Linked DNA regions of Astyanax mexicanus. The protein of the gene in region 1 purifies or fractionates together with the protein of each later gene. This does not show direct contact. Links are inferred from orthologs where the notes say so. Each region holds a gene or a part of one and is shown in the gene's direction. Other genes may lie near its edges.

Evidence for each region.
Region 2: the proteins of cope (region 1) and copz1 purify together in Homo sapiens (affinity purification with mass spectrometry; 3 studies listed by BioGRID and IntAct, with this or other methods). This does not show direct contact. The link is inferred for Astyanax mexicanus from reciprocal best matches to the Homo sapiens genes COPE and COPZ1.

What each region holds. Positions count from the first base shown.
Region 1 is NC_064415.1:56,235,757-56,251,067, reverse strand, and holds cope (coatomer subunit epsilon), read left to right. Parts: upstream 1-7,461; 5' UTR 7,462-7,501; coding exon 7,502-7,603; intron 7,604-8,058; coding exon 8,059-8,121; intron 8,122-9,286; coding exon 9,287-9,387; intron 9,388-9,504; coding exon 9,505-9,657; intron 9,658-9,742; coding exon 9,743-9,796; intron 9,797-10,496; coding exon 10,497-10,578; intron 10,579-10,764; coding exon 10,765-10,920; intron 10,921-11,413; coding exon 11,414-11,482; intron 11,483-12,687; coding exon 12,688-12,762; intron 12,763-13,019; coding exon 13,020-13,067; 3' UTR 13,068-13,224; downstream 13,225-15,311. Other genes in the region: slc25a24l (solute carrier family 25 member 24, like), read left to right, coding at 921-1,157, 1,962-2,088, 2,415-2,502, 3,279-3,390, 3,601-3,759, 4,179-4,316, 4,660-4,767, 5,402-5,569 and 2 more. UniProt on the Homo sapiens protein: The coatomer is a cytosolic protein complex that binds to dilysine motifs and reversibly associates with Golgi non-clathrin-coated vesicles, which further mediate biosynthetic protein transport from the ER, via the Golgi up to the trans Golgi network.
Region 2 is NC_064420.1:848,584-864,506, reverse strand, and holds the start of copz1 (coatomer subunit zeta-1), read left to right. Parts: upstream 1-8,114; 5' UTR 8,115-8,203; coding exon 8,204-8,221; intron 8,222-9,184; coding exon 9,185-9,253; intron 9,254-10,339; coding exon 10,340-10,421; intron 10,422-10,519; coding exon 10,520-10,611; intron 10,612-10,715; coding exon 10,716-10,771; intron 10,772-11,369; coding exon 11,370-11,447; intron 11,448-11,711; coding exon 11,712-11,763; intron 11,764-12,723; coding exon 12,724-12,762; intron 12,763-15,923. UniProt on the Homo sapiens protein: The coatomer is a cytosolic protein complex that binds to dilysine motifs and reversibly associates with Golgi non-clathrin-coated vesicles, which further mediate biosynthetic protein transport from the ER, via the Golgi up to the trans Golgi network.

The sequences.
Region 1 (15,311 bases):
CTGATCTTAAAGCATTAGATTCTCATATAGGTAAAATAGTGTTTTGCTTTAACAATAATAGATCTACAAGAATCTATAAGAATCTTTTGTACTTTGTAAGCTTGATCACTATTATTTAAATAATAAAAAAAAAAATAATTAATGCAACATAAACTTACATACATTTTATTAGACTATTATAAGCTTTTTTATAAGATTTTTGGCGGCGCCTGCTGGTCAATAAGCGGAACTGCAGGAACTCCAGTGGGTGAAATCTCCCATGACTCAGCGTTTTACCTGCAGAGGCAGACAGCATCCAGCCATCCTGCTGATTATAGAAAAGAGACAAAAAAAAACTGGATTATGAAACTAATTATTCAAGAGTTTAATAAAGAGAAAGACAAAAGACAGACAACGTTTTATTTCTGCAATGCAAACCTGTTTAGTTTGCAGTCAGAATTTCGTTTTTTCATATTTTATTGGTATTAAAACAACACAAAATTTCTTAATAAAAAAAAAAAACATTTTCTTGGTTTGTTTAGCAATTTTTTGTTTCATAAATAACTTCTTTAATTATTAATAGCTTTAATATAGTTTTTTAGTATTACATTTAAATAGTAAAAAATCATAAAATAGGAAATTAGAAGAATGAGAATGAGAAGAGTTGTGTCCAAACTTTTGATTGGTAATGTATATGTGTATGTATAAGCACAAATCTAGTCATATCGAATATAATGAATATATTTTAAATATTACACTATACATACCTTATTTATAAAACACAACATTTACATAGTTTATTGTTACTCAATCCAGTTTATTAATTCAATATGTTAACTAAATAAACCAGGTCATTAATTATAAACTACACTGATTTATAAAGCTGAATGTCTCTTTCTATAATCATGTAATCCTGTGTACTGTTCCTTTTAGTTAAAGGGATGAATGGAGGCTCACGTGGGTCTGGTGCTGATGCTGGTGCTGATGCTGATGCTGCAGCTCTGTTAGCAGACTGTAGCTGTAGCTGTGAGTGTGGATCAGTGGATCAGGAGGTGATGGAGCAGTTTGAGAGCTTGTTCTGTAAGCTGGACCGGAACAGGGATGGGTTTATCTCGGTGGAGGAGCTGCAGGAGGAGATGAGGAGGGTTGGGGTGGTGTGTGGTGAAGAGAAAGCCCGGGTGAGTCTCTCTTACAGGCTAACATCCTCCTACACACACACACACACACACACACCACCAACAACAACAACAGCCTGACCTGCATCCAGATATACACAATACTGTATCGTACTATAATGCACAATACTATATTGCACTATACTGTACTTTATTATACTGTACACAACTGTACTACACTGTACTTTATGCTTTATACTATATTCTTTCTATGGATATACATATATACTATACTATACTATAAACAATACTATATACTGTACTATATATACTAGATGATATCACAGTTATCAAAATTATTGAGGTCATGTCTGTTTATTGTATGATAAGTCAGTAATGCAATTATGTTGAAAGACTATACTATAGCTTATTACTATAGCTTGTATAGCTGTTATATTTTACCTTTCAGTATTTCTAACCTCATTTCCTTCTTCCCCTCCTTCACTTCTCTATCCCTTTATTTCCCTTCGACCTCCTTTAAGCCCTATCTAAAAATGGTTTATCTTAATTCCTATTACTTGTACTTGACTATTGTAAGTTGCTTTGGACAAAAGCGTCTGCCAAATGTAATGTAATTTACCATATAATCAGCTTACCACACTTAATACTATAATTTTATTTTGAATTACTAAACTATAGCTCATAACAATACTGCATCATATCTTCCTGTAACATACTCTACAATCCTATGAAGAATATTCCTTTTACTATCACTTGTTATACTATACTTGATATACTATACTGTGCTTTACTGTTAAATGAAATGATGCTTGTAAAAATGTGAGAAATCTTGTTTTTTCTTTTCAGATCATCGTGAGCAACAGTGACCGTGATCAGGATGGACGACTTAATTACGAGGAGTTCCTGAACTATATAATGGACCAAGAAAAGAAGTGGAAGATTGACTTTCAGAACCTTGATAAGAACAACCGTGGTGTGCATTCCTCAAATATTTCGCTAAATTAGTAAATCAAGTAAAAATTGAGTTCAGAGGCAGTTAATCATTTAAGACAGGTTTTATATCTTTAGTGTGCTTCATTAGCTGCCAGACAAAGTAATACTAACAAACACTGCACTTGGACTGTCACCAGTTTTGTTAGCAAACCTGTTAGCCTAGCATCTCCAGTTATAAAGTAAAGAAGCAGACATCAGATGCATTGTTTAGCCGTGAGCTGAGCGCTTTAATAGTATATTTTTGGTTGGTTGATGCACTGTTTTTATTAAATATATTGTGTTTACATTGATTTCTCTTCTGATTAGGAGTCATTGACCAGGAGGATATCGTAAATGTGTTTAAGGAATTAGGTGTGGTCATATCAAAGCAGAGCGCAAAGAGAATCATCCAGATGTAAGACCTGCTGCTACTGGTTATGCTGAATGCATCCAAACCCCCTGATTTAATAATCGTGATGATCATGGTCTTTTCAGAGGGAATAGACCTACTGGGAATGAAACATTTTCCCACTGATATTTACTGAAGGAGGAGGAAGGAGGAAAAGCCTTATTTGCTTTAACAGAAAGGCCAGGATCATCACTGCATGCTTTATACCCACTAACTTTAGATACTGATACTCTGTATCTAAGCTGCGCTGTTTGGCTTGTAAGCGCTGCATTATTGCTAGGATACCTGTATGTGGCGGAGTCATACATGGAGTGCTTCGGTTACAGTGCATTACTGGCTGATAATGATAACTCACAGAACATCTCTCAGCCAATCACATTGCAGGGTCGGAACTAACTGTGGTAAAATATAAAGTAAAAGATATTTATATGTATATATACAGCTCTGGACAAAATAAGAGACCATTTCATTTGAAAACAATGAGTTTCTTTGATTTTACCAAGTTGAAAACCTCTTGAATTTTTTTTGCACCAGGAGTTAAGGCATAAAGTTATCCAAAATCAGTGTGTAAGACTGGTGGAGGAGAACATGCCAAGATGCATGAAATTTGCCTTTTTTTCTTTTTTACAATTGCTAATTAACATTTTAATTGGCTACATATACTTTATATATCATCATCATGTACATCATATGATCATATTGCTGTCTGTACTGCTGGGATTGGGTATAAACAGAGATGGTTCTCTGTTAACTCTGTTAATTCTTTTTCTGTTCATTATTAGGATGGATGAGGACAGCTCCATGACTGTGGATTGGGGGGAATTCCTGCAACATGTGATCATCAACCCAGCAGAAAATATCAGAGAGCTTATATCCTCATGGAAGCACACACTGGTAAAGAGCACACTTATTACTGCCTGGACTTGTAATCCAATAAAAAAGAACCCTGTCATACTATAGCATATATATGATAAATAAAATTTGTAATGCATAAAACAGTTCTACTTAAGATTTACTTATCAGTTAATTTAGTATAAATTTACTATTACTATTTAATTACAGAATTCCTAAATCATCACCTTTCCTTGCTGCTTCCATCTGCAGGTGTTTGACGTTGGTGAGAGTCGATCCATGCCTATAGAGCTCACTCAGGCGGAGACGGATCTGTCCGAGTGGAGGAACTTCATCCTGGCTGCAGGTCTGTCTGACGCTGTTTCCAGAACTGTGACGGCTCCCATTGACCGATTAAAGACTCAGCTACAGGTATTTCAGCTCAAACAAGCTGAGATGTTTACAATAAAGTAAAAAAAAGTTTCCTCTATCTATATTTATCATGCATTCTTTATTCCGGCACCCCACGTTGTTTTTTTTAATCTCCCCTCAAACATAGAAATATACACCAGTATTTTAATTGAGACCACTAAAACTAAATATAATTGCATTTTACATGTTTTACATTCATTCTTTTATTTACATTTAAATATCCACTGTAAAACTTGCCCCTTAAGAAGAACAAATGCGATTAATCACAGCTAATCACAGAATATTGTTGTGATTAATCTGATTACATTTTCTAGTTGATTGACAGATTTTTTAAATCTTTTTTTATAATATTTAAACTGTGGACAACTTTGTTCAGCTTTTATAGATGTTTTATAGATGTTCCTTCCCTTGTTTTCTAGGTTTATGGCTCCAAGGCTGTGTCTTTGGGTTTGCAAGATCTGAGAACTGGAGGCTTGAGGTCCATGTGGCAGGGAAATGCTGTTAATGTGCTTAAAGGAACACCACAGTCCACACTGCAGTGTTTCCTGTATACCCAGGTGTATAAATATAACCTTGTTTCACATGTTCCATCTTTTTATACTGAGTTAAAATCACTCTCTAGTTATTAAAATATACCTATCAATCTATACACTGTCAGACTGTAGAAACTACTGGAAATCAACACTGTAATATATTATCTCTGCAAAAGTGTCTAATAGGTAATAGATAATTATTATTGTCAAACACGCATAAAACTCATTTTTGAATTGAATCACTTAATGATCTACACTTTAAGCTGCAGATTCATACTGGAATAAAATCACAGGTCTTGTTTATAATCACATTAATTAGAGCAGTTCCCAATCAAATCCTACAAACTGCTTTCTGTCTGTTTCCCAGATGAGGAAGCAGACCCTGGGCGAGAGAGATCACCTGTCTGTGGAGCAGCGTTTCGGACTGGGCTGTGTGTCTGGAGCTGTAGCACACGCAGCATTTTACCCCCTAGAGGTATCACAGATACATCACAGGTCTGAGCACTCCCAGGAAGCTTTCTCCTTTCTGTGCAAATGATATAAAACACATTATAACCACCATCTTTACTGAAATGTTTTATCGTTGTTTGACCAAGATTGAGGCAAAATGTGCTGCGTCTCGTCTCTTTCTCAGAGTTCAGACAGATTGTGGCTACAAATATAACCATATAAAACTCAGTTCAGTTAAAAATAAAATTAAGATGAGTAAAGACATGTGAAGTTAATTAATTATTAGCAAATAGTTTGAGGTTTTGGTGTGTGAAACTAATGTCAGTTAGTCGTTAGCTCTATCCGTTCTAGTGTTAAAGACAGTGAACAGCTGGTGTGCATGGATACTGCTGAACATGTTCCAGTCTGGTTGTATACTACTGTCAGTAAATAGTGGGAGGAGCCCCCTTAAGGTGGATTCTGAAAAAAGTGTTGTTGTTCTTTCCTGTATTGACCATCACAGAATTTAAACGGCCTCTTACACAGTTCACAACTAGTTTTTGTCTGGGGGCCAGCAGAAGTCTTTGCTCATTTGAGTTAAAAGGTAGGTTTGGTTCTACTAGAAACAAAAAGTCATTAAGACCAGTAACTGGACTGTGTTTTCTGCTTCTCAATCGCAGGTTCTGAAGGTGAGGCTGAATCTGCAGCAGGCCGGTAACTACAGCGGACTCCTGGGATGTGCAAAGTCCATTTACAGCAACGAGTCTGTGACAGCTTTCTACAGAGGTTTCAGACCAAGTCTGCTCTGCATGATCCCATATGCTGGAGTGGAGTGTGCTGTTCATCAGGTAAATCAAACCAGGGGCCATATTCATAATAATATATGATCATACGTTATGCTAAGGCCTATACTGATAGCCTCAATGTGTTCACAGGGTTAATTTGTGCCTTTATTAATATATACTCTTACCATCTGCTGCCCCTACTGTACATGAACATGCTTAAACATACTTAACTACAACAGTTATAAGAAAAATAGCTCATACCTCATCGTTTGTCCTAACAGTCGATAATGAGCTGGGCCAGACGAAACCCTGCCAACCGCAGTGACATCAAACTGCTGTTCTTCAGCTTTGTGGCGTTCGCGTGTGGACAGGCCAGCAGCTACCCTCTGGCCGTCATTAGAACCCAGCATCAAGCGCAAGGTGAGGGGTATAAAACAGTGGGGCTTTTTATAATTACTGATACTGTGCTGCCGAACAAACCAGAAAAAACATTTTACCCTACTAAATTTTTTGTATGCCTAATTATTGCCTTATTAATCATTACGAAATAATATATTATATAATCATTTTTGTAAAATAAGTGATGTAATGCAGCTCTTATGAAATACAGTATGCTTCTTATTAATTACTGAATTATTACATCAGTTATTATATATAATAATATATAATATTTTAGACTATTTTATTGTCAATATAACTGTTATATTGTTACATGTCTCTCTTCCAGCTTTTACATCAAACTGCCAGAATTCCTCACATATATTTCATGGACTGGTTGGGATCTATGAGAAGAACGGGCTGAGAGGTTTCTACAGTGGGATGGGGGCTAGTTTTGTGCGGGCCGTCCCGTGTGCTCTGCTAAATTACACCCTCATCTCTAAACTGGAAGAACTGCTTTCCACACATCTATGATGAGCAATAAAATCCCTGTATAGACAAACACCTGATGTGTCTTTAGCCTGTGTTTGTGGGTCTGTGTGCTTTCAAGAGTTGTTCAGCTGAACAGAACTGATTTTTTAAACTTTTACTTTTTGCACAATTAAACAACAGGAGTGTTCATGAGAAATGGTAAGCTTATACTTACCGGTTCTGTGGTTGTAGCCCCGCCTACTGTGGGAAAAAGTGGGAAATGAATCAATGAATAGTAAATCACCAGCAGATAGCGCTAATCTTTCTTTGTATTTCCCTTTTATGTTGACACTTAAAGCGCCACTCACTCTACAAACTAAATCACAAACTGTTACTTTGCTATTGATTTTTCCATTTTGTGTTTTTATTTTAATTGTCAGACATGCAGCCTATTGCAAGGAAAAATAAATAAAAATGTTACCAGTGCATTTAGATTTTAGTTTTGCCATTTATTATGCAGTTCATCAAGAAAAGGAAAGGCCAAAGTGAAGCTTTTATTTTTCACAATAAGCTTGTAAATTAAAATTAAAAAGGCAAAATTTAATTAATAAAAGTAATTTTTATTTTATTTTTGTATTTTATTTTTTTTTCTAATATTTTCACACATGTTTGGAAAAAAAGAAAGCGCAAAACAGTATTTGCGTTTTAATTTGAGTATTTTTACTTCAGTCTTATTTTTAGCAGGATTTGCCTTCCATAACAGTTTAAGTGCACTATTATTATATATTTAAATACACTATTTATCAGAAGGGCCTGGATGAGAAAGAATCTAGTTGCAGTCTTGCAAGATTACCAGTTTTTGTAAAATCTTAGTCTGTGACTAAAATGTCTGTGACTTGTCTTTAGATGTGAAAGAGTGTCAGATTTTAGTCTATTAAAGTCTTTTTAGAGTCTTTTTAAATTCCTCTAGTGTTTGTAGTTAGCTTTAGTGTTTCTAATAAAATGAATGGATGAGTGCGAGTGAGATTGACAGACTCGTCAGCCAATGAGAAATAAGACCGTCGCTCGTCGCCCCGCCCACTCTTCCTGCAGCCGACCTGGATGATGTGGCCGCTGAAGTGACGTGTACTGGTGTTCAGAAGCATCATGGCGGCGCAGCAGGGAGAAGTGGACGAGTTATTCGACGTGAAAAACGCCTTTTATATCGGCAGCTATCAGCACTGTATTAATGAAGCTCAGAAAGTGAAGGTATGAGGAGATTCTACAGCGCTTTTACTGGGTTTACAGGGGAGCAGGGCTTCAGTTAGAGGCGGGTTTAGGGAGGCTGTCAGCCGGCTAACTGCTGTTAGCTTAGCTTAGCATAGAAAACAACACCAGTCAGCTGCTGCTGCTTTACTGTATATATTTATATATACTTTATGTATACTTTACCATATATATTTTACAGGGAACGTTATAAATGTTTCAGATATTTGAGCTGTAAATGGCCATATGGACTGTCTGTTAGCTGTTTCTAATGTTACCTTTTGAGAAGTGTTGTTTATACAGGAATTTATACTTTTGTGCTCATTGTACTCATTATTTTACAAAACTAACTTATTACTTGACCCACATCTGTTAGTGTAATTTACTCCACAGTTAGATTCTCAGGCCTCGATTCTCTGTTTATGCCCCACTGTAATGCTCATATATCGATTTTACAGGCTTCAGGACCAGACAAGGAGTTGGAGAAGGACATTTTCCTCTACAGGGCGTACATAGCACAGGTAGGTTATGTTAGTTACACGCCATGCAGCTCCACTTTTTTCTTGTCTATTGCTTTTTTTTTTATTATTTGCATCATATAGCCCAATATGTGCACCAGTAAGACCTGTCCCTGGTGAAAATAAATTAACTGCTCAGTAGGGATTGGTGTTATATTTTTTTTAAAGACTATACTACAGCAGCAAAATAAATATTAAATTGTATTAAGTTAGACCCTTAATTGATATAAAATAAAAATATTGTAAAATAATAAATAACATAAATAAACAACAAAAATATTTAACAAAATTAGTGCAGCATAAATATTTGTTGCATTAAAGGCAAGCAAACAAAAAAATAAAAGTGTGCGATACATATGACATACTCCTACTGTCCAGCTGAACTGGTTTGCTTTTGTGTGTTTTGTGTGTGATGGTTGAGCTGGTTTACCAGAAAGGCTGGCTTCACCTTGCTGGTTGTTAGCATACCTGTTGATTGACCAGTATGATAAGCTCGTTCAATTGGGTTATGCTCCATTAGACCCAATAAAAATATAAGGTATGCTTTAGTAGGCTAATCTAAACTAGTCCCTCAGTTGGTCTCACATCATATCCACTGTGAATTTTCCTCATGCCTTATTTACTTCAAAATAAACACAGTAAAACAGAGTTAGTGTTAAAGTAACAATGTGGGTGTTAAAATGTAAATTTTGTTAATTTACTACAGACAAATTTGCTTTGCAAGTGTGACTAACAAAGCCTTGAAAGTCTACCTTGACCAGCTAATCCATAAAATAAAAACATACACCATGCTGGTCAATAGCTAAGCTAGTCAACTAGCTAGTTTAATAGTATGACTGTCCTGATGAGGCTAATCATCCTGTACAGCCAAACTGGCAGACCAATATGTCTAATGAACAGACTAGTTAGCTTGGATGGTCATGCTGATGGTCCAGCTCAACCTCTTGACCTCAACTGGTCGGCGCATTTGACCAGACACACAAAAAAAAAAGACTCAAATGTATGTCATGCTGGTCAGGAGCTAAACTGTGCAACCAGATCACATTTGGAACATTTGCATGTATTTATACAGGTCGACCAACACTTCAACCACCATGACCAGTGAAAACCAGCGTAGACCATCTAAAACCAGAATATTTAAAGTGATATTTGTTGTTTTTTCCTGCAGAGAAAGTATGGAGTGGTGCTGGATGACATAAAGCAGAGTTCCTCTGAGGATCTGAAAGCTGTCCGTATGTTTGCAGACTATCTGTCTAATGAGGGCAAAAGGTCAGCACCCAGAATGTGATTTACTGAAACCCATCATAATGAATGTACATGTTAATCCCTTATTATTTATGCTTTATATTAAAACACACTTTTTCTTTGTAATAAAACTGTGTGCAGGGATTCAATCGTGGCTGAGCTGGATAAGAAGATGAGTCAAAGTGTGGACGTCTCAAACACCACCTTCCTGCTGATGGCCGCCTCCATCTACCTGCACGAGATGAACACAGACGCTGCCCTGCGAACACTTCACCAGGGAGAGAGCCTCGAGTGGTCAGTGCGGTGAAGAATCCAACATTTGATTCAGCTTTGTCTTGTTTTATTTATTTATTTAGATTTTTTTGTTTCTTTGTTTTAGCATGGCGATGACCGTCCAGGTACTTCTGAAGCTGGACAGAGTTGACATGGCAAGGTATGCTGTGATGTTTTCTTTGTGTGGTGTGTGAAAGAATGTTGGGCTGTGCAATATGGATGTGATTCATAATTAAGTTTGTTTAAAACAAATTTACATATTAATTATATGTTAAGTATCAGCTTCTGTTATTTGGCACATTGACTGTAATGAAGTAAAGCATAAGTTATATTCAGCTCCCTGACTGTAGGGGGAGCCCAGGGATAAAAATGACATATTCTTGTATAATACTGATTTAAGCAATTACAAAAATACAATATTAGGAAAAACAGGCATCTTGTTCAACACGTGAGCCAGGTTTCAACCAATCCTGCACTGTGGGTGGGACAAAGAGGCTTGTAATTAGCTGTATTTGACAAGTCATGCTTATTTTGACCAATCCTGTAAGGATATAGAATAAACATTTAACCACAAGAGTAAAAATGTTTTCATTTATATATATATATATGTCTTTTTTTATTGAAATGCCATTAAAGATTATTATTACAGATACTACATTTTGTTGTTCTTCACAAATGGTGTAAAATGGGTTTCTTATTCATTATATTGTACATCTGTTTGGGAACTCTTTACATAATGACAACACCAGTGCAATTAAGCCCAGTGTTTTTATCCCTGAATTTGATTTAGTGGTTTTTAGTGGGCAGAAGTGAAAGTTCACACCTGCTGTTGCTCATGTGTTGATTTGTTAACTGTGTAGGAAAGAGCTAAAGAAGATGCAGGAACAGGATGAAGATGCTACACTAACTCAGCTGGCCACTGCCTGGGTCAACCTTTCTGTGGTGAGTGTCTGTGTTGTTTGTATTTCTTTTAACTTCATAATAGTTTACAGTTTTTTTGTATACTGCACTGTACTGCAGAGTATGTCCGGAGAATCCGGTCATGGCTTTAGGGCAGTCTACACGAGACCGTTCTGTTAAATGCTGCTTCTTTCTCGTGTCTCTTATTGTGTTTTCCTTGTTCGACAGGGAGGAGAGAAGCTGCAGGACGCTTTCTACATCTTCCAGGAGATGTCTGATAAATACTCTCCCACTCTAATCTTGCTGAATGGTCAGGCTGCCTGCCACATGGCCCAGAACAAATGGGACGAGGCTGAGTCTGTCCTGCAGGACGCGCTGGACAAAGTGAGAAAATGCCTTTGAGCTTCAGTCTTCTAATCATTGAAGCCCATTTTAAATTAGGAGTCGTTACTGCTATACATTATTTATGCTTTAATTAAGTGTTAGTTAAGTTAATAAAGTGTTTTCTGTTCAGGCTGCACTCTTTAGTCTTTGTCCAAAAAATCTAAACCACATATGGGATTGATGTCGTAAATATTCTGATTTAATAGATGTTTTAAAATGATGTCCACATAAAACTCTGTACCAATGAAATACAGTACAGGACATTTACAAATCAGAATCAGCAGTGTGTTTCACTTTAGAATAAATCAGTAAATGAACATTATTCATGAACAGTTCTGGCTTAAAAAAAGGAATTCAGTGTCAGAATCTAGGATTACTCTTTCTTTCGCTATCTGTTTTTACAGCCTAAATAGCCCAGTTACCCAGTTATCTGTGAGAAGATCCTTATTGCCTGTTTATTCACTCTATTGTGTTCTTTTCGATTCTGTTACAGGACAGCGGCCACCCTGAGACACTCGTCAACCTGATTGTGTTGACACAACACCTGGGCAAGCCTCCCGAGGTCAGTGTGTGTGTGTGTGTGTGTGTTACTGCCATGTCCTAAACACTATTTACTATTGTATTTTTCGCATTAAAAGGCGTACTAAAATCTTTTCATTTTTCCAAAAATCATCAGCATACTTTATAATCTGGTGCGCCTTATGTATGAATTTTATTTTATTTTATTTTTCTGCTGAAGTACAGAGTTATACAGGAGTTTCAATTTAGTTCTCCAGCACCGGGGCTGAAGTAACATTAGCATTAGCCGCAAACCGCTATGTCACGTTCAGAGTTGAGTTTTATCGGCCTGTAGCCTGCTCCTAACCATGGCTAGCACTGCTGGAGCAGCATTAGCATTGCCCGCTAACCACAGCGCTAGCTCTTTTGCTGTCCTTAATGCTGAAGAAATTTGGTAATCTAATCTTACTGTAAATAAACGGAAGCGCTTTACTCACTCAAATAAACAGTTTTCAGGAGAGAAATCTTTGTAGATTAACATCGAGCACTCTTCGACTTTAAAATATATTTTTTTTTATTACAGTTTTGTTTACCTAGCTTAACTTTACTTAACTTAGTTAACTTCTAAAGCGATAAATAATATAAATAATATAAAAGTGAAAAATAAGGCATTTAGCCTTTTGTTGTTTTGAAGTGTAATATGATAGTGAATAAAACCCATCCTCTAAGATACCTTCTTAATGCAACATTACGTAGTGGTTGTGCCATGAAATATGGAAAAATAAGTTCTGCTGGAAAATGAAATCCGCATGTCCTTAAAAGCTGTCAGCAAAGGGAAGCATGAAGTGCATCACTGATAGGTGGAAACTTCACACTAGACCTCGAGCAGTTTGGACTGTGTGTCTCTCCACTCTTCCTCCAGACTCTGCTCCCTTGATTTACTTTAAATGAAATGTAAAATTTACTGATGATCAGTGATGGTTTGGAGAGACATGTCTGTCATCTGCTGGTGTTGATCCACTGTGTTCTATTAGTCTAAAGTCAGTGGACTTAATGCTTCCCTCATGTGACTCCAGCATTTAAAATAGTGATATTGATAGTAATACATACTGATAAAACATTTTCTCTACTTACATATTCTATATATTCAATTGTTGATCAGTTTGCACAGTTTGCACAGTTTGCACTTCCTGGCTAACTTTCTCTAGATCAAGACGACACCTGTAGTAAACATCTTTCCTTCTTGTTTTTCTTCTTGTGTCTCTACAGGTTACAAATCGCTACTTATCCCAGCAGAAAGATGCCCACAAATCTCATCCTTTCATTAAGGATTATCTCGTTAAGGTAAGTGTTTTAACCCCTACAGATCCCTCTAATAACTGGAGTGTGGGAGTCATTAAAAACTGATTACAGAACTGAATGAAAGCGTGAGCTGGATTTTTAATTATTGCAGTGATTAAGAGTAATGACCTCCAGTTTTACCTTCGTGATGAGCCTGATTATAATAGTATGCTAATGGTCATGATTTTGTTCCTGCTTTTGTTTTTTTCTGCTTTTTGTGCCACTATAATTGATTTTATAATAATTCTGTGTCCTTTCAGGAGAACGAATTCGACAGACTCGCCATGCAGTACGCTCCCAGTGCCTGAAAACCAGGCGTCGTTCTCTCTCTTCTGATATGGGCTGAAAGCAGTGATCACTATAACACATGGTTTGTTTTTTTTATTGTTTGCAATATGTTAAAACTCCTTCATAATTTCCATAAGCATTCCTGTACACTTGTTTAATAAATCTGTTATTATGTGATGCGTTGTGTGTCTCCCAAAAATGTGTTATTTGTCCAGTGAGCTTGAAGGAAGTGTGGTATTAAAAATAGACTTTAACCCCTTTAGACCTGATTTTCTCATAAATAATCTCATATTTAACATTAACATGCCCATTGCATTGGAAGCCTGAGTTTAACATTGTCATTTTATAACTGATATAGCCCTTTTAGTTCACAAACCATGATTAAGCCATAAAATAAACTTGCTAAAATAAAGTGTCCTAAATTACATAAAATGTATAAAAATGAATGCTTACAATTCCTTCTTAGCTAAGGTTCCTATTGGCAAGCTATTGCTTCATTGGCTGGTTAACATTTTAATTGGCATGTAAATTATCTATTGTGATGGAACATTAAAAAAAAGAAGAAAGAAGAAAAAACATGATGACTTTTGTAATGGACGCAGTGTCTGAAAGGGTAAAGAAACCGTTTATGGTGGTGAATAAATGTGTATAAGAAGTTTAATACAGTGTTAATATTAATCAACATTAGAGGGCAGTATAGTATAACACAGATATTTTATTCCAGACGTCTGAGGTCTCCTCAGCCAGCTGAACCCAACTTAGCCCAGCTATAAATAACCTGACCAGACCTTGTGCTGGAAACCACTGGCCTAGACTTCTATAGGTCTCATACAATAAGTACAGTTCAGTCATTCATAACCAATGTACATTAAAAAGAGTTTCACCTGCCTGTGATAGAGGCTTTGTCTCTACTGTCCAGGGAAATCTTTAAAGAGCCACTAAACCCCAAAGCATATATTTTTTCCATTAATAGCTGAAATGTGTTCATTTAAAGTAATGAAAAATACCAGTCCTGCTTGATATTTTTTTTAACATTTCCTAACCTTTAAAAACGCTTTTACTTGGCATTAATTTCCACATTTGTTTTTTTATTTATCTATTTATTTATATTTTATTAATTTGTGTACATTTTTGTGACCAGTAGGGGGTGCAGTTGATCCTTAAGTTGAACCAAACTTATAACATCCTTTGTTTTATTTTCTCCTGTGGATTTCTGATATCAAAAACTGCCATAGTTCTCAGTCCTCACCTGGCAAAACAATTAATAGACTGTATGGAGTTATATATGTTATATATAGTTATAAATAGTTATATATATATATATATATATATATATATATATATATATATATATATATATATGTATATATATATATATATATACATATATATATATATATGTATATATATATATATATACATATATATATATATATATATAACTTTATAAGACATATATAGCATAAATGTATGTAAGTACACACATATATATGTATGTATATGTATGCCATAGGACAAAACTTCCAAGTACAAGCCATTTCACAAGAACATAGGTGCCAAACACATACTTATAGATACACATATTACTTGTGCTTTAACTACAAATACTTTCTCTAAGCATATTGCTGGATGCATTTCAGTATTTAAAAGTTCTTTTTAAGAAATATCTGCATTAGAAATGAAAAAAATAATGATATTTATATTAATGGTGTGAATTTATATTAATGGTTTTCTTTTTAAAGAGCTGCTAGTTTCCTGTATTTTTGAGAGGAATCAGTAATAATGGTGTGGTGTGGTTTAGGTCAGGCAGACTAGAGCTTTTTACTGTCTCATATATTTATACAATATATAATATATATAAAGTATATACATAATATATCTTAGGGTAGAGAGATAAAAAGAGGGAGTGCCTGAGAGGTACTGAGACATTTCGGTCGATACCTTTTTAGTATCAAATTTTTATACCCAGCTCTTGTGAGAATCATGGTAGTTGTGGAGGAGGTGGGGTATCTAGCAAAGAAAAGTCCATAAAGACATGACTGGGTGAGTTTAGTTGAGTTGTAAAAAATTATTTGTATTTCACCCCATCAGATACAATAACTTCTGACCTCACTAATGCTCTTCTTAATGTGAATGGGCAAAACATCCCTCAGAGAGAGCAGGAAAAGAGTGGAAGAGTTCAATCTGTTCTTTCTGCAAGGAAGGGGGACCAACTACACATTAATGCCTATTGATATAGAATGAGACAAAAGCTCATATAGACT
Region 2 (15,923 bases), on another chromosome or scaffold:
TAACCTGACCGTTCAGACCAGGTCCTACAGTACTGTACACGGTTGTGTATGAAGAGATAAAGATGAGGCATTTCGAAAGGTTTCTCTTTATCAGTTCATTTTATCTTGGCTGCTATTGAGACACAGTTACTGTACGCAATAAGACTGCGGGTACAGGTTCCTCATTCAGAGTCTAGCAGGTACAACGCTCTGCACCGTGACAAACATTCTTCTGAAATGGATTCCTCTTAACTGCAGCTTCTTAGAAGTGAAGCAGTGTCACCAACCGTTCACTGATAGTTTAATGCAAAGTTCATTAAAGGTGCACTCTGAATTTTCTATAGAGCTGCAGAAAGTCCTGGAGCCATATTTTAATAATCTATAGCGGATCCAAAGCATTTAAAGCATGTCGTGTGTCTTCGGTATTGCAAGGGCTAAAAAAAAAATACTCATTGTGCAGCTCGAAATCGTTTTTGCAAAACGTGCAAAAGGCATGTACTAATTGTCTTAATTAATCATGTATGCGATTAATTTTGGGCAAAACATAAAATAAACCAATCACTGTGCCAGTTGTCATTCCATTTAAGAGCCAGATGTGCTCTGACTTTGGCACGTTCATATCTTTTAAAATTTAGAGCATTTATTTGCAGAAAATGAGAAATTACTGAAATAACAAAAAATACACAGAGCTTTCAGACCTCAAATAATGCAAAGAAAACATTAAGATCATATTCATAAAGTTTTAAGAGTTCAGAAATAATCAATATTTGGTGGAATAATCCTGGTTTTTAATCACAGTTTTTTTTTCATGCATCTTGGCATCATGTTCTCCTCCACCAGTCTTACACACTGCTTTTGGATAACTTTATGCTGCTTTACTCCTGGTGTATAAATTCAAGCAGTTCAGTTTGGTGGTTTGATGGTTTGTGATCATCCATCTTCCTCTTGATTATATTCCAGAGGTTTTTAATTTGGTAAAATCAAAGAAACTCATCATTTTTATGTGCTTTCTTATTTTTTCCAGAGCTGTATGTGGAAGATCATTTAAGAAATACTGTCAAAATGCAAAGTCAATTATATCCCAAAAAAACCCAACAGATTCCACTCTAAATATATTAATATATCTGATGTTGCAATTTTCCATTTATTATTCATACCATTATAAAGCATTCAAATTTATTCATGCTTAATAACCTCTTAACTAGTACCAATTTAGACATTACTCAACCATTTAACAGTGTTTATTATTTATTACTCTGTTATAAGTACTGTTATTTGTGACCCTTATTGTAAAGTGTCATTAAACTAAAGGATTAGGGACTGTTGCTGAAACTTTTCAAAGTGTGTTTTTCAGTTCTGATCTTCCACTTTAACTTGAGAAAGACGTTGACGCACTTTTTGCACTTTCACTAAATGTCACCACAGTTTTGCACGTTTTACCTTCTTACATCTGAGGACATTAGTCACATCGTCCTTCACTAGTACATCAATTACTCATCACTGCCGTCCCTTCTTCTCTCTCACTGTCATTTCTCCATTAGTTTTAGTTAACAGATGTCACAGACCGAGATTAAAATCATCTGGTGATTAATTGTGGTGTGTCATCTTCATTTGCACAAATACAATGTAAATCATAATCAGCAACAGGTGAAAGTCAAGCTTGAGAAACAACTGCTTTGTTAATATTAGTATAATATTTATAATTTACAAAGATTAAGAAAGCAGGTCTGGGACTGTACTGTTGTGGATTCAATAATAGGGTGGCATAAAGTTATCCACAGTTATCCAAAAGCAGTGTGTAAGGCTGGTGGAGGAGAACATGATGCCAAGATGCAGTCTGAAAGCTCTGCATATTTTTTTTGTTATTTAAGCCATTTCTCATTTTCTGCAAATAAATGCTCTAAATGACAAAAATTTTATTTGGAATTTGGAAGAAATGTTGTCTGTAGTTTAGCAGGGTCAATTGTGCTCTCTCAGGACTTTGGCAGCTGATGGCAAGCTGCATGGCTGGGATTCGAACCAGTGATCCACTTGAAGCCCTCTATTACAAAATATTAGAATCTACAATTCAGATTTTTTTTTTTTATTATTAATGACAAACCACTGAATTTAAAGTGTGTCCAAACTTTATTTGTGTTTGACTATTACGTTGATTTATTCATTTCACATTTGAAATATCCACTATTAAAAGTTTCAGTGTTAAGAAGGAGAATGTACATTATATTAATCATTAAAAAATAATAATTAGTTATTATATTTTATCATTACATTACATTTACATTTATAACATTTTTGCTGACGTGGGTTAATGTAGTGTTGGGAGTCTTGCCCAAGGACTCAAAAACGTATTGGTGTAGAGCAGCATTCAGTCACCCAGATTAGGAATTGAACCCCAGTCTCCTATATAATATGGTAGCTCAATGGCATGCAGTGGTGTTTTCCACTGCGCTACACCAGCCAATGACAGTCAACGGACAGTTCTACTCATTTCTTTACGAAATGGAACCAGGCTCCTTGGTTCTTCCTGGTGGTCTGAATTTTTTGTGGTGAACTCTTTGAAGCTTCGCCTCCAGATCCTCTAAACTCAGAGAGAAAACTGAAGGGTGTTCCTCTCTTTTGCACGTCTTTACTGAGGCCGTTCAGCAGTTCAGCAGTTTTTCCTCACGATTGAAGTATTTAAAATATTTCTTGGTGTTGTTTTACTGTGGTCTCCTGCGGTCTACCGGGTCTTTGTGTTTTTTCACAAAGTTCACCAACGCATTCTCGCTTGTTAACAGTGAACCAAACCGTGCACCGTGGCACTAATGTTTTGGCGGGGTCTCTGGATGATTTACTTGCAGTATTGTTTCTCAAAAATTGACACGACTTTGATCTTCATGCTGAGAAACAACAGTGACAGTCTCCAGATGTAAAAAAAAAAAAAAAAAACGTCACATCGAGAACAATCTCCAGACCTTCACTTTTAGCTCTTTTTTAGATTTTTTGTGCATAAATTAAAGATTTGGAGCAACTATGTTCCCATGAATCCCACTCATGCAGCTTGCCATCAGCTGCTGGAGCCCCGGGAGAGCACAGTTTGTCTTGCTCTCTCTCTGGGTGGGTACAGTACAGTAGATGGCGCTCTTCTCTTTCCCCTCCTCATCACTCCTAGGGTGATGTGGATCAGCACAAGGCTGCATCTGTGAGCTGATGTATCAGAACCGAGTCGCTGTAGGTGCTTTCCTCCGAGGGGGAGTCCTATAAGTAGGTTGGATAATTGGCTAAGAAGCTAAAGAGACTGACTTGACTACACGTGACTTGCGTTACTCAGGATGTTATGCAGAATCAAACAAGAAACAAAATGTAAAATACGTTGTTGGGTAAAGTGTGGGGTTGGGAGACGTGGTCAGCATGGTCTCTACACGTTTCATAAAGAGCTGGAGCGATTTCAGCTTCTGCAACAGTGCTAACATTATAATATGCAACAGAAAATTTGAATAAAAAAAATATGTGATGGTAAGTTGCACTACAGTGTGGACAATTTTACCAAAAAAAGGCCTTTTCATGAAATCATGGTTTACTTAGTTACTAAGTTACAGATACTTTAAATTGTTCAGGGTGAGCTTGTTCTGTTTTAAATATGAGAAATATGAGGTGAATTTAATATGATTAATAGCTGAACATGCAGAAAGTGTCTTTATTCCCTAGAAAAATATATATATATTATTTTTTTAAATGGAAATAGCTAATTTAAATTATTATATTTTAAATATTTAATTTTTTTTAAAGGATAACATAGTATTCCTCTATATGTGTATTAATACTAATTCAGAGTACATCCTAATACTTACTGCTACGGCTTAAAAATGATGAGTTTCTTTGATTTTACCAAATTAAAAACCTCTGGAATATAATCAAGAGGAAGATGGATGATCACAAACCATCAAACCACCAAACTGAACTGCTTGAATTTTTACACCAGGAGTAAAGCAGCATAAAGTTATCCAAAAGCAGTGTGTAAGACTGGTGGAGGAGGAGAACATGATGCCAAGATGCATAAAAAAATGTGATTAAAAACCAGGATTATTCCACCAAATATTGATTTCTCTTTCTTTGGAATTTGGGAGACATGTTGTCTGTAGTTTATAGAATAAAACAACAATGTTCATTTTACTCAAACATAAACCTATAAATAGCAAAATCAGAGAAACTGATTCAGAAACTGAAGTGCTCTCTTCATTTTTTCCAGAGCTGTATATTATTTTATATTGATATTAACCTCACTATTAAAAATATAAATGCATGTGCACTCTTGACAGTGATGCTGCGACGTGTATCAGAAAGATAGTTTATCGCTTCATCAGGCACATCCAGCTCGTATTGTGTCCTCTACAGCACTAAAGGATGATTTCGAAATGCACTTCGCGGTAACCTTGTGAAAACCCAGAGCTGGATTGTGAAACGCGCTGGTGAGCCGCTCTGCTGCTGCCAGAGGCTTTAGAACAATCTCCACAGACTTCTCCTAAAACCCTACTAACACAATTAAAACTGTGTACAGGGTGGAAATGCTGTATTCTCTCACTCTCACTTCTAAAATAATACCTTCCTGCAGGAAGTTTCAGGAGTTCTTCTATTTAAAACTGTGGAGGAACTCCTTAACCCTTTCAGACCCTGTATTTACTTTATTTTACAATTTTAACTCCTTTATTCCACAGCTACTTATTAATGCTGTTTAATTTAGGGTGTAAGTCGATGGATATAACATCAATGTTCTGTATATATTTTGTTTGTTTGTACTGCTACAGAGGCACACTGCTCAGCCCAGTCAGATCTCCCTCCTGCCCCGCCCCTAAACCCATACATCACCCACTGCCTCTTCCAAATAACCCATACACACATACTTGAGCATTTTTATGAATGGTGGATAAGGGTATCCACACAAGATGATCTCTCAGGTTCTAAAGCTTAGAAAAGATAAAAAAAAAAGTAATTTTTTGTGTGGTATAGTTTACATTTTATAATGTTTTATAGATACTCTAGTTAGCTATATAGTTTCAGGGGAAGGTCAGAAAATATGCAAATATAAAGTTTGAAGATCTAGAAAAAATAGTTTACAGTATTTATTTTTCAGTAAGAAACTTATTTTCCTTCCTCCAGACTCCCTTGATTTACTTTAAATGAAATGTAAAATTTACTGATGATCAGTGATGGTTTGTTTGGAGAGTCATGTCTGTCATCTGCTGGTGTTGATCCACTGTGTTTTATTATCAAGTCTAAAGTCAGTGCAGTTTTGTTTTCCCACAAAATCTTACAGCACTTCATATCTTACAGCTTCCCTCTGCTGATAACAACTTTTATGAAGGTGTGGATTTCATTTTCCAGCAGGACTTGGCACACTGCCCACACTGCCAAACAAAAGTACCAATTGGTCTTATTATATTGATTGACACTGATTTTGGGTTTTTTTATTGGCTGTAAGCTTCATAATCATCATAATCATCAATAATAAAATAAATAAATTATTAAAATAGATCACTCTGTTTAATACATGTATATAATATATGAGTTTCACATTTTCAACTGAATTACTGAAATAAAGCAACTTTTCAAAGATATTCTAATTTTTTTAGATGGTCCTGTACATACCCAGGTAACTCCTCTAAAGTTTAACACTGTTTATTTTGCTGTGCATGTTTGTAACTGTGAATAAATGAAAAACAATCCCTAAAATAAAGTTAACATGTTAAATACACAACTCTACAGTCTGGTTTTCCTGATATGGTATAAATGACCCTCTGCAGGCCTGGGAGCAGATCTTGGACGCCGTGTTTGAAACCAAAAGGGCTGAGAGCAGGAGCTGAGAGGACTCTGATGTCAGTGTGTGTGCAGGAGGAGTGAGCAGGGAAAATCCCCTCGGAGCTCGGGTTTTCACAGTGGTGCTTCCCAGAAGAAGTGACCAGACCCGTGCCATGAGGACGATGACGGCCGCCTGTAGGAGGATCTGTTAAATTAAAGCAGACGTATCATAAGCTGTTTACTGTTTTACAGAAGACTCGTGTCATTGAGGCCTGTGCCTCATAAAACTAACCTCAAATCACTGGATTACGACCCAAATTAAAACCAAATTAGATCAGACACTCATGGTGGTGCTATTTAAAGAGATCGGCCCACAAAAGCACTCGGAAGTACATTAAATAAGATTGTGGAGATATTGTTTTAAATAACAATTCAAAAATAGTTTTACATTTTTTAAACTTCAAATACAATACAGCCATGTTGAGTAATTCATCGCAGTAAAATACTGTAAATATATACATTAAGTTAAACCCTTGTGAAAAAATTGTGTATTTAAATATAATAATAGTGTCCTTAAACTACAGATCAGAACTACAGAAAAAACACCAATTCAGTTTCTGAATCAGTTTCTCTGATTTTACTATTTATAGGTTTATATTTGAGTAAAATGAACATTGTTGTTTTATTCTATAAACTACAGACAACATTTCTCCCAAATTCCAAATAAAAATATTCTTATTTAGAGCATTTATTTACAGAAAATGAAAATTCAGAAATCAATATTTGGTGGAATAACCCTGGTTGGTTTTTAATCACAGTTTTTTTTTTTTTTCATGCATCTCAGCATCATGTTCTCCTCCACCAGTCTTACACACTGCTTTTGGATAACTTTATGCTGCTTTACTCCTGGTGTAAAAATTCAAGCAGTTCAGTTTGGTGGTTTGATGGTTTGTGATCATCCATCTTCCTCTTGATTATATTCCAGAGGTTTTCAATTTGGTAAAATCATAGAAAATCATCATTTTTAAGTGCTTTCTTATTTTTTCCAGAGCTGTATGTGTACATGGTGAATATGGTGAAGAAGAGAATAGGCAGTATATGGATGAGCTGTAATTGACAGGGGAAGGTCAGATACTGGTTGGCTCCTCTACAGACCTCAGTGCATGACAACGCCTGTGCAGAAACATTCCAGTAAATACTGAGGGTACTGTAGGCAAGGAAGTGGGCCTATTTTTGTGATAGAATGGCCTATTGGTTTTGAATTCAGCATGACAAAATGGAAAGTTTCAATAAAGGCAAGACAGGCTGGAATCCAGGCTCAGTTATACACAGCGGCACAGGAAGGTCAGGAGTGCACTGAACACAGTAACGTTCAGACTAGAACTCTGGGATTTATTTAATGAAGATTTAAATAGGTAAATAAACTAAAGAAAATGTATGCAAATGTGTAACTTTACCCTTGTAAATAAATTAAGTATCCTTAAGAGCATTAAATGTATGTTCAGATTAGGCTCTGCATTTTCTATTTAATATACCTTCTCTGTATTTCCATAAAATGCATTTTTTAAGCAATATGCTTTAAATTAAATGTTGTGTTGAAAAAAAAATGTTTAGTGGCATTAATTACTGTGCACTATAGTTTATAGTTTTTTTTTTCAAGTTGTATAAAGTGTATTTACAATATACATTAAGTGTATTGAACATGATGTTTAAAAAAACACAAGCTATAAATCTACTTAAGTTCACAGAAGTTATACAAAAAAGCACTCAAAAGCACAACCTAATGCTTTTATGTTGTATTTAAATATATTTTAATTGCAATTGAAATATATTTAAGTTGCCATAAGTTGTTCCAAAATAGTACATTTAGTGTGTATTTAAATACATATTAATATATATATATATATATATATATATATATATATATATATATATATATATATATATATATGTATATATATATATTTTTTTTCTTTTACAAGGGTAACCACATTAAGGATGATCAAACCAAACCAAATAATAGCCTTTAATATTATGACATTAATCTCATAATATTAAGATTTTATTCTCTTAATATTACAACTTTAATCTCATAATATTACAAGTTCATTCTCGTAATACTATAATTTTAATCTTGTAATATTACTACTTTTATCTAGTAATGCTACGATTTTAACCTTACCGCAATATTACTACTTTATTCTCGTAATATAATGACTTTAATCTCGTAATATTTTACAGATTTATGTTTGTAGTACTTTAATCTCGTAATATTACAAACTTATTATGACTTTAATCTTGAAGTGTACTGTTTTCATACGCCATCGTATTAGGGATATTTTGGACGGACCTGTATTTTGAAGTGAAACGCAAGGTCACTTCCGGTTCAGTCACAGCCGGAAGTGGACAGCACTGGGATCGGCAGGAGCTCCGCTGATTAACCGCGAGGATGGAGCCGCTAATACTGGTATAATTATTACAATACTGTATTTATTAATATTATCTGAGCTGTATTATCTCTTACTGTGAGAACTGGAGCTTCAGCAATCGCTGCTGTGGAGTTTAATATTAATAATAACAGTGTTTTACTACAACAGCAGCAGCAGAGCTAACTAACTAGCTTTTACTGATTATCCTCTAAAAAACACCCAAAATAACTTTATAAAAGTATTATTCTCTCTTTCTTAACCTTCACTGATAATCCTCTAATTCTAAAACCCCAAAACTTAGTTTTTACACTTATTATTCTCTCTTTCTGAAGCTTTACTGAGAGGAAAGCTTTATTTTCTTAAATGCACACACATTTTTTTTTTTTTAAAGCTGTTTTGAGGCAGACATGCTAACATTAGTTAGCTTAGCTAGTTTAAAGCCGTTTGCATCCATATCTAGTTAATTATCTATGTGTGCTTATATTACTAAAAATCTGTAATTAGTATTTTTAGCTTGGAAGTTAGGGTAAATATAATGAGTGTATAAAACTTATGCTCCTTATTGACTTTTATATAAGTTGAATACATGGACTGGGTATTAAATAATTAAATAAAAAAACTAACTTTTTATTTAAAGTGAGGAAAACATTGTTTTCTATGAGATTTGCTCTTTAAAATTCATAATAAAGAAAATTTGTTGACTGTGACAGTATTGCCATTTTACTTTCTTAAATCTGGATTTAATTTTCACAATTTTGCAGATAGAATCTTTAATCTGTAATGCATAAACGCTAATTATTTTCTATGCGTTTTCTATCAATTATTCTTACTTTTCTAAAATATTGTTTCATGTTTCACTTTAATTTTATTTAACATTCCTGCTGCCTAATTCTCAGCACAACCTTTGCCTGTTAATACGTTGGTGTACGCGAGTGTAGATTAGATTAACTCATAAATCTGTTTACTGATTAACTCGCGTGATTCATGTGCTGCTGTTTCAGGAGCCCTCTCTGTACACCGTAAAAGCAGTTCTTATCATGGACAATGATGGAGAAAGACTCTATGCTAAGGTAAGATAAATAATAATAGTAATAATACTCCAGTCCTCACTCCTTTCTGATTGTATTTATTTTTTTTTTGGCTCGGGACCGCCCACAGGCAGCATGCAGTTCATTCCTGTGTTGTTTGTGCGAATAACACATCAGTGTTTTATATACTTTACCCAGTAATTCAGAGCTAAGAAACAAATGGTTAGAATTAGTCTATGGAGGAAAAAACACCACCAGCCAAGTACAATTGAGAGGTGTTTAGAACAGTTCTGTTTACACTAGTTAAAAGTAAAATTCCCTGATGGATTTTTACTTTCCGGACCTGGACTCTGTTATCCACCTCTGTGTGTAAGTAACTATAGGTTTAAATAGGATCTCCGGTGGATTTGGTGTTTTACAGAGACTAAGACTAGGTCAGTGGCTGAACTGCACTTAGCAGGGCATTATTACACATGTTTTAAAGTAACATGTGACATTGTAAAGACGTTTCTAACTGTTGTCCGATGCACTTTGCCAATCAGAGGTGATGTTTGCATGTATGAATATTCATAAGCAAGGGCTGTAATCCTATCGTTCTTTTCCCGCCCACTCTTCCACCGGACTAAAGCAGTGTTATACCGGATCACCGGAGCACTTTTTTTTTTTTTCCACAAAAAATAGCTCACATGGTATTCATTCATACTAGAGACACAAGAAATGAAATAACGATGTAATGAGACCTTTTAACTAATTTGGAGATTTTTTTTAAGGTAATCACTTAATTGTTTGCACTGGATTTTATCATTTTATTTTATATGGGATAAAGGGATAAACATGATTTCAGATTTTTATTTGATTAAAATTGTGAAGTAATTTTTAGTCCACTTTACAATTATGTGCTACTTGTTGTGTTGCTCTTTCACTTAAAATCTCAATAAAATAGCTTACTTTATTTATTTTGTATGGTTTGTTGTTGTTGGGTAACAAAATGTGAATACATTCAAGGGTATACACACTTTAGAAATTCAAGAAACTGTAAATCTGAGTAACAGAGCTGTTTTAAAGGATTGTGATGGTTTTATCTGTACGTTTTATTTATAACGTCTCTCTGATTAACCTCTGTTTCAGTATTATGACGACACCTACCCCACAGTTAAAGAACAAAAGGCCTTTGAGAAGAACATCTTCAACAAGACGCACAGAACAGACAGTAAGACAGTTTTTTTACGTTTATTTACTACACGGTTTATTTGTTCTGAAGTTTTCACAGTTTTATAATTATCTTGATTTGATTTTTCTCTTTAACAGGTGAAATCGCTCTGCTTGAAGGCCTTACTGTTGTTTATAAGAGCAACATAGATCTGTACTTCTATGTAATCGGGAGCTCACATGAGAACGAGGTAACAGCTCAAACCTGATTCTTTTAGCTTAAACTTATTCTTATTTATTTGTCTAATAAACACATCAATCAGTTTATTAATTTGTATTAAATTTTTCCATACAGCTGATGCTCATGTCAGTGCTGAACTGCCTGTTTGACTCCTTGAGTCAGATGTTGAGGTATGAAATAATTCTCTGTGATATACAGCTCTGGGAAAAAAAAAAAAATTTTCACTTAAAAATGATGAGTTTCTTTGATTTTACCAAATTAAAAACCTCTGGAATATAATCAAGAGGAAGATGGATGATCACAAACCATCAAACCACCAAACTGAACTGCTTGAATTTTTACACCAGGAGTAAAGCAGCATAAAGTTATCCAAAAGCAGTGTGTAAGACTGGTGGAGGAGAACATGATGCCAAGATGCATGAAATTAAAACTGTGATTAAAAACCAACCAGGATTATTCCACCAAATATTAATTTCTGAACTTTTATTTAAAACTTTATGAATATGATTTTATTTTTTTGCATTATTACCATATTTGTGTAAATAAATGCTCTAAATGAGAATATTTTTATTTGTAATTTGGGAGAAATGTTGTCTGTAGTTTATAGAATAAACAACAATGTTCATTTTACTCAAACATAAACCTATAAATAGCAAAATCAGATAAACTGAGGCCTCTAAATCTTTCCAGAGCTGTATTTTTGTAGATTCTGTAATTTGAGCTTTCTCAGTTAAATTTTAATTGTAATAATAATTCTTTTCTTTACAGGAAAAATGTGGAGAAGAGGGCCTTACTCGAAAATATGGAGGGTTTATTCCTGGCTGTGGATGAGATTGTAGATGGAGGGTAAGTGTGTTTTTGTCAGAATCAGAGATATTAAATATTATTGAAAGGTGGTGTGAAAATGCATTTTTGTCACACTTACATTATTTTAAATGATCAAAAAACATTAATATCAGCCAAATATAACTTTAATAAATCTAAAAAGTAGTGGTGTTGATCGATTAAAAATGTAATCAGATTAATTAATGTAAACAGGTACTAAAATGTTTTTTTCTGCTGTATTTGAGTGCTGTATTTAACCTGTCTCTGTCTGTCTGTTTCTGACAGTGTGATCCTGGAAAGTGACCCGCAGCAGGTGGTCCACAGAGTGGCTCTGAGGGTAACTGTGATATTATTACTATTCCTATCTAAAACATTTATGTACAGTGGCCTGCAAAAACCTGGGCGTCCGTTTAAAATGTGTGTTACTGGTTATAATCAAGCAAATAAGGTGTAAAATTAAACAGCTTTATAATTTTACAGTTTCACAAGTAAATAAGTACAAGGAGTAGCCCCCAGTTTTGGTAGCCAGGTTTTGGTTCTCATTGTTTGTTTGGATGATTTTTTGCCCATTCTGCAACACTGCAGTTCCGAAGCATGAATCATCCACCCCCATGCTTAACAGTTTTTTTTTTTTTTTGAGAGTTTATGTTTCAAAGATATTCAGCACTCTCTAAACTCTTCTTAATCAGTCAACAGGATTTGTTAAAAAAAAAAAAATGGATCAGTCTAGTTTCAATGGTGTGGTTAGTTTTTCTTATGAGTCTTTGCTGTATGTTGTGTTTGTGCAGGTTTTGCTGCACAGTAGAAAAGTGCACCACAAATTCAAAACTGATATTTTTGCATTTTAAAGGAGAGTTTTGTTTAAACAGTTCTAGCATTAGTTCTTCATGAAAGTTTTCTCAGTCTTCCAAGCCAATATTTGACCTCCACACTTTCTTTTAAACTGTCGTTTCTTTTACAGTATTTTTGTGGATAAAATCAAAATAATACTCTAATCCTTCTTTAGAAAAACAGGTGAAACAAAGTTTTCTCTTTAACTAAATGCCTTTTAGAGGCTTTCTGAAGTTTTTGACGGTTGTGTCTGAACTTTTGCGTGCTCCTGTATATCAGTGTTAGTTCTCTGACAGTGCGGTGTGGAGGAATATTATTATTATTATTAATATATCTGCTGGTAGAGCTGCTAGATTTGATTTTAAGTATTCAGTAGATAAGACAGCATGACGGAGGACAGAAATGAGTAAGAAGCTCGACTGGAAGCTGATGAATTCCACAACTCATCATCTCTGATCTCCTACAGGGCGACGACGTTCCTCTGACAGAACAGACCGTCACTCAGGTGAGAGGAGACTCTCCAGCACACACACACACACACACACACACACACTCACCCTCTCTTTCTATCCATCTCTCTTTCTCTCTTCTAATAATAATAAACCTTTTTTATATAGCACCTTTCACACCAACAAATACAGCTTTATTTTATATTAAATTAATTAATTAAATAAATTAGCAAAATGTAAAAGATAAAACCAAACAATTAAACAATTAAAAAGTAACAATTTATTAAAATAGTTATAAATATGTTCTGTTATAAATAGGACAGAACAACCAATTTAATCAATTGAAAATTTTAAGTATAAGCAGCCTCCTGGTGTTTTGGGAACATTACTAGTGATTGAGAAAATCCTAATGAAAGGGTGGAGAATATGGTTTTCCGAAATTGGGGGAAAACATGGGACAAAATTAAGTAAAAAATTATATATATATATTAAGAGAACACTCTGGAATATAATCAAGAGGAAGATGGATGATCACAAACCATCAAACCACCAAACTGAACTGCTTGAATTTTTACACCAGGAGTAAAGCAGCATAAAGTTATCCAAAAGCAGTGTGTAAGACTGGTGGAGGAGGAGAACATGATGCCAAGATGTTTTTAAAACATTTCTGCAACTCATTTTCTGTAAATAAATGCTCTAAATGAGAATATTTTTATTTGTAATTTGGGAGAAATGTTGTCTGTAGTTTATAGAATAAAACAACAATGTTCATTTTACTCAAACATAAACCTATAAATAGTAAAATCAGAGAAACTGATTCAGAAATTGAAGTGCGACCTTCATTTTTTACAGAGCTGTATATTGAAAAACCAGTATAATATTGCTGAATGACCATTCTCCTCCTCTGTATTCTGCTTTCCTGTTGTCTCGGTTCAGTAGCGGTTGTTTACCAGTGGTGTTGTGTTGTGCTCCTCGTTGGTGAGATCAGTCCGCGGCAGTGTGTTTGGTGTGTTTGGTGTGTTTGGTGTGTTTGGTGTGTTTGGTGTGTTTGGTGTGTTTGGTGTGTTTGGTGTGTTTGGTGTGTTTGGTGTGTTTGGTGTGTTGGGTGTGTTCTGGGCTGTGCCGCTGGGATCCTGCCCCAGAATCCCTCACCTCGCTCCTGCACCTCCTGCGCTGCCGCATGTAAAGCATGATGGCTAATTATTGGCGGCTGTCTGGCAGCGGCGGCTCCCCGCGGCCGCGAGAGGCGCGAGAGCAGCCTGATTGATGGGCTCATTTAAGAGGCCTGCGACAGACTGCCTGCATCCCTCCCGCGCCTCTGATTAATGCCGCTCCTCGTCCTCCTGCTTTATGGTTCTACTTTACCGAGCCTTTTCTCGAATTAAGATGATTAATTAATTCCTGGATATTTTCCCTCGTGCCTGCATTACTCAAACAGCAACTTTTACATACAGAGCAAACATATATTATTATTATATACAGCGCGGAAAATAAGTATTTAATACGTTGACGGTTTTGCACGTTTTACCACCTACAAAGAGAGCGGAGAGATCTTTAATATTTACCGTAAATTCACTTCAACTGTGAGAAACAAGAAAATCACATTGTATGATTTTTTTTAATAATTAATTTGCATGTTACATGTTTCAATTGCAGTCCGGATGCAGGAGTTTTATCACTGAGTAGAATCGTGAAATATTTTTCATGGACGTCCCCCTGAGAAACGAATCCTTTCCAGATAGGGCTTTACTTAGCCACTCCTTAATTGCCATGACTGTGTTTTTCGGGTCATTGTCATGCTGGAAGACCCAAACAGCACATCTCTTCAATGTCCTTACTGACAGAAGGAGGTTATTGGACAAAATCTTCTGCTACATGACTTCATCCACCCTCCTTTCAATATGGTGCAAGCATCCTCTCCACTTTGCAGTAAAATCATGTGATTTTAAGGCAATATATCGTATTTATTTCTCTGATAACATTTTTGGTCTTACTAAGCATTGTGTAAGTGTACGATTGTTTTATTTATTTTAAGAATGGTTTATAATCTGATTCAGTCTTTTCAATTCTTTCTAATTATTTTAAGTAATTTGACTCAAAATAATCACAAAAAGTCACCAGTCAAGTTATTCTGATAATTGTGTACGAATTTAAGCCAGATTTTTGCTTGCCTTAAGTGTTACATCACTCATTTTGAGACTTTTTTTTATTTTTTTAGAAATCTGACTAAAAAAAAAATTTGCTTACCCCATTGGCAGATTATACATATTTTTACTTGTTTTTGCCAATTAGTTTTTATGCACTGTTTTTCTTCTTCCAAACATATCGAGTGGAGTTAATACTGAAAGTCTCTACTTGGATAGGTGTGATAAATATTACAGATCACTTCATTCTTTATAGTTGGAAAAACATGCAAAATCAGCAGGATATCAAATACTTACTTTCCCCATACTTTTTGTGTTTGTTGTTCTTAATGGGCTTTATATATACTATGTATTTCTAAGTGTGGCGTATGAGTTTATGGTGATAGTTTAGGGTCAGAGATGATTCGATCGTGGAGGTGTTAATGTTGATGTTGGTGTTTGATGGCGAGCTGCAGGTCTCACAGCTCGGAAAGCTCCTCGTCTCCTCGCTGATGAACGAGCGGCGTAACGACGCTGTAAATAAAACCCTGAGCTTTAGCGTCGCAGCGCAGCATCAGTGTGTTCAGATTCAGTTAGCACCGTTAGCCTCGCGCCGCGGAAGCTGATTTTTGAGGGATCTGTATCTGTAGGTACCTGCGTTTATTAATGAGAGCGAAGTGCAGGAAACACTTATCAAATAAACAGCCTGTTCCTGACCGTTAATCCTAATGCAGCGTAACTGCCCTCACCATGCAGCTCAGATTTAGATGAGAGAGAGTTCATCATAATGTAGCAAAATAATCCTCTTCACTGTTTCTCATATATTTAGTGCTCAGAATGTGTTGGCTTGGTGATATGGAGGACAATATAGCAGAAATATTAAGCAGTGTGCAGCACAGAATCCAATGTTTATTTGTCTGAAATTTTATGAGGAGTAAATGATGTAGTATTTTAAAATAAATAAATTTTATTTTAAATAAAATTTGTCACAGCTAGTCATAATGAGTTTCACTGTCCAGTTTCATGATGCAATGAGGTAAATGGGAATGAGCCTCCCATTGGATAGTTACTGCATGGATGATTTATATAAAGTT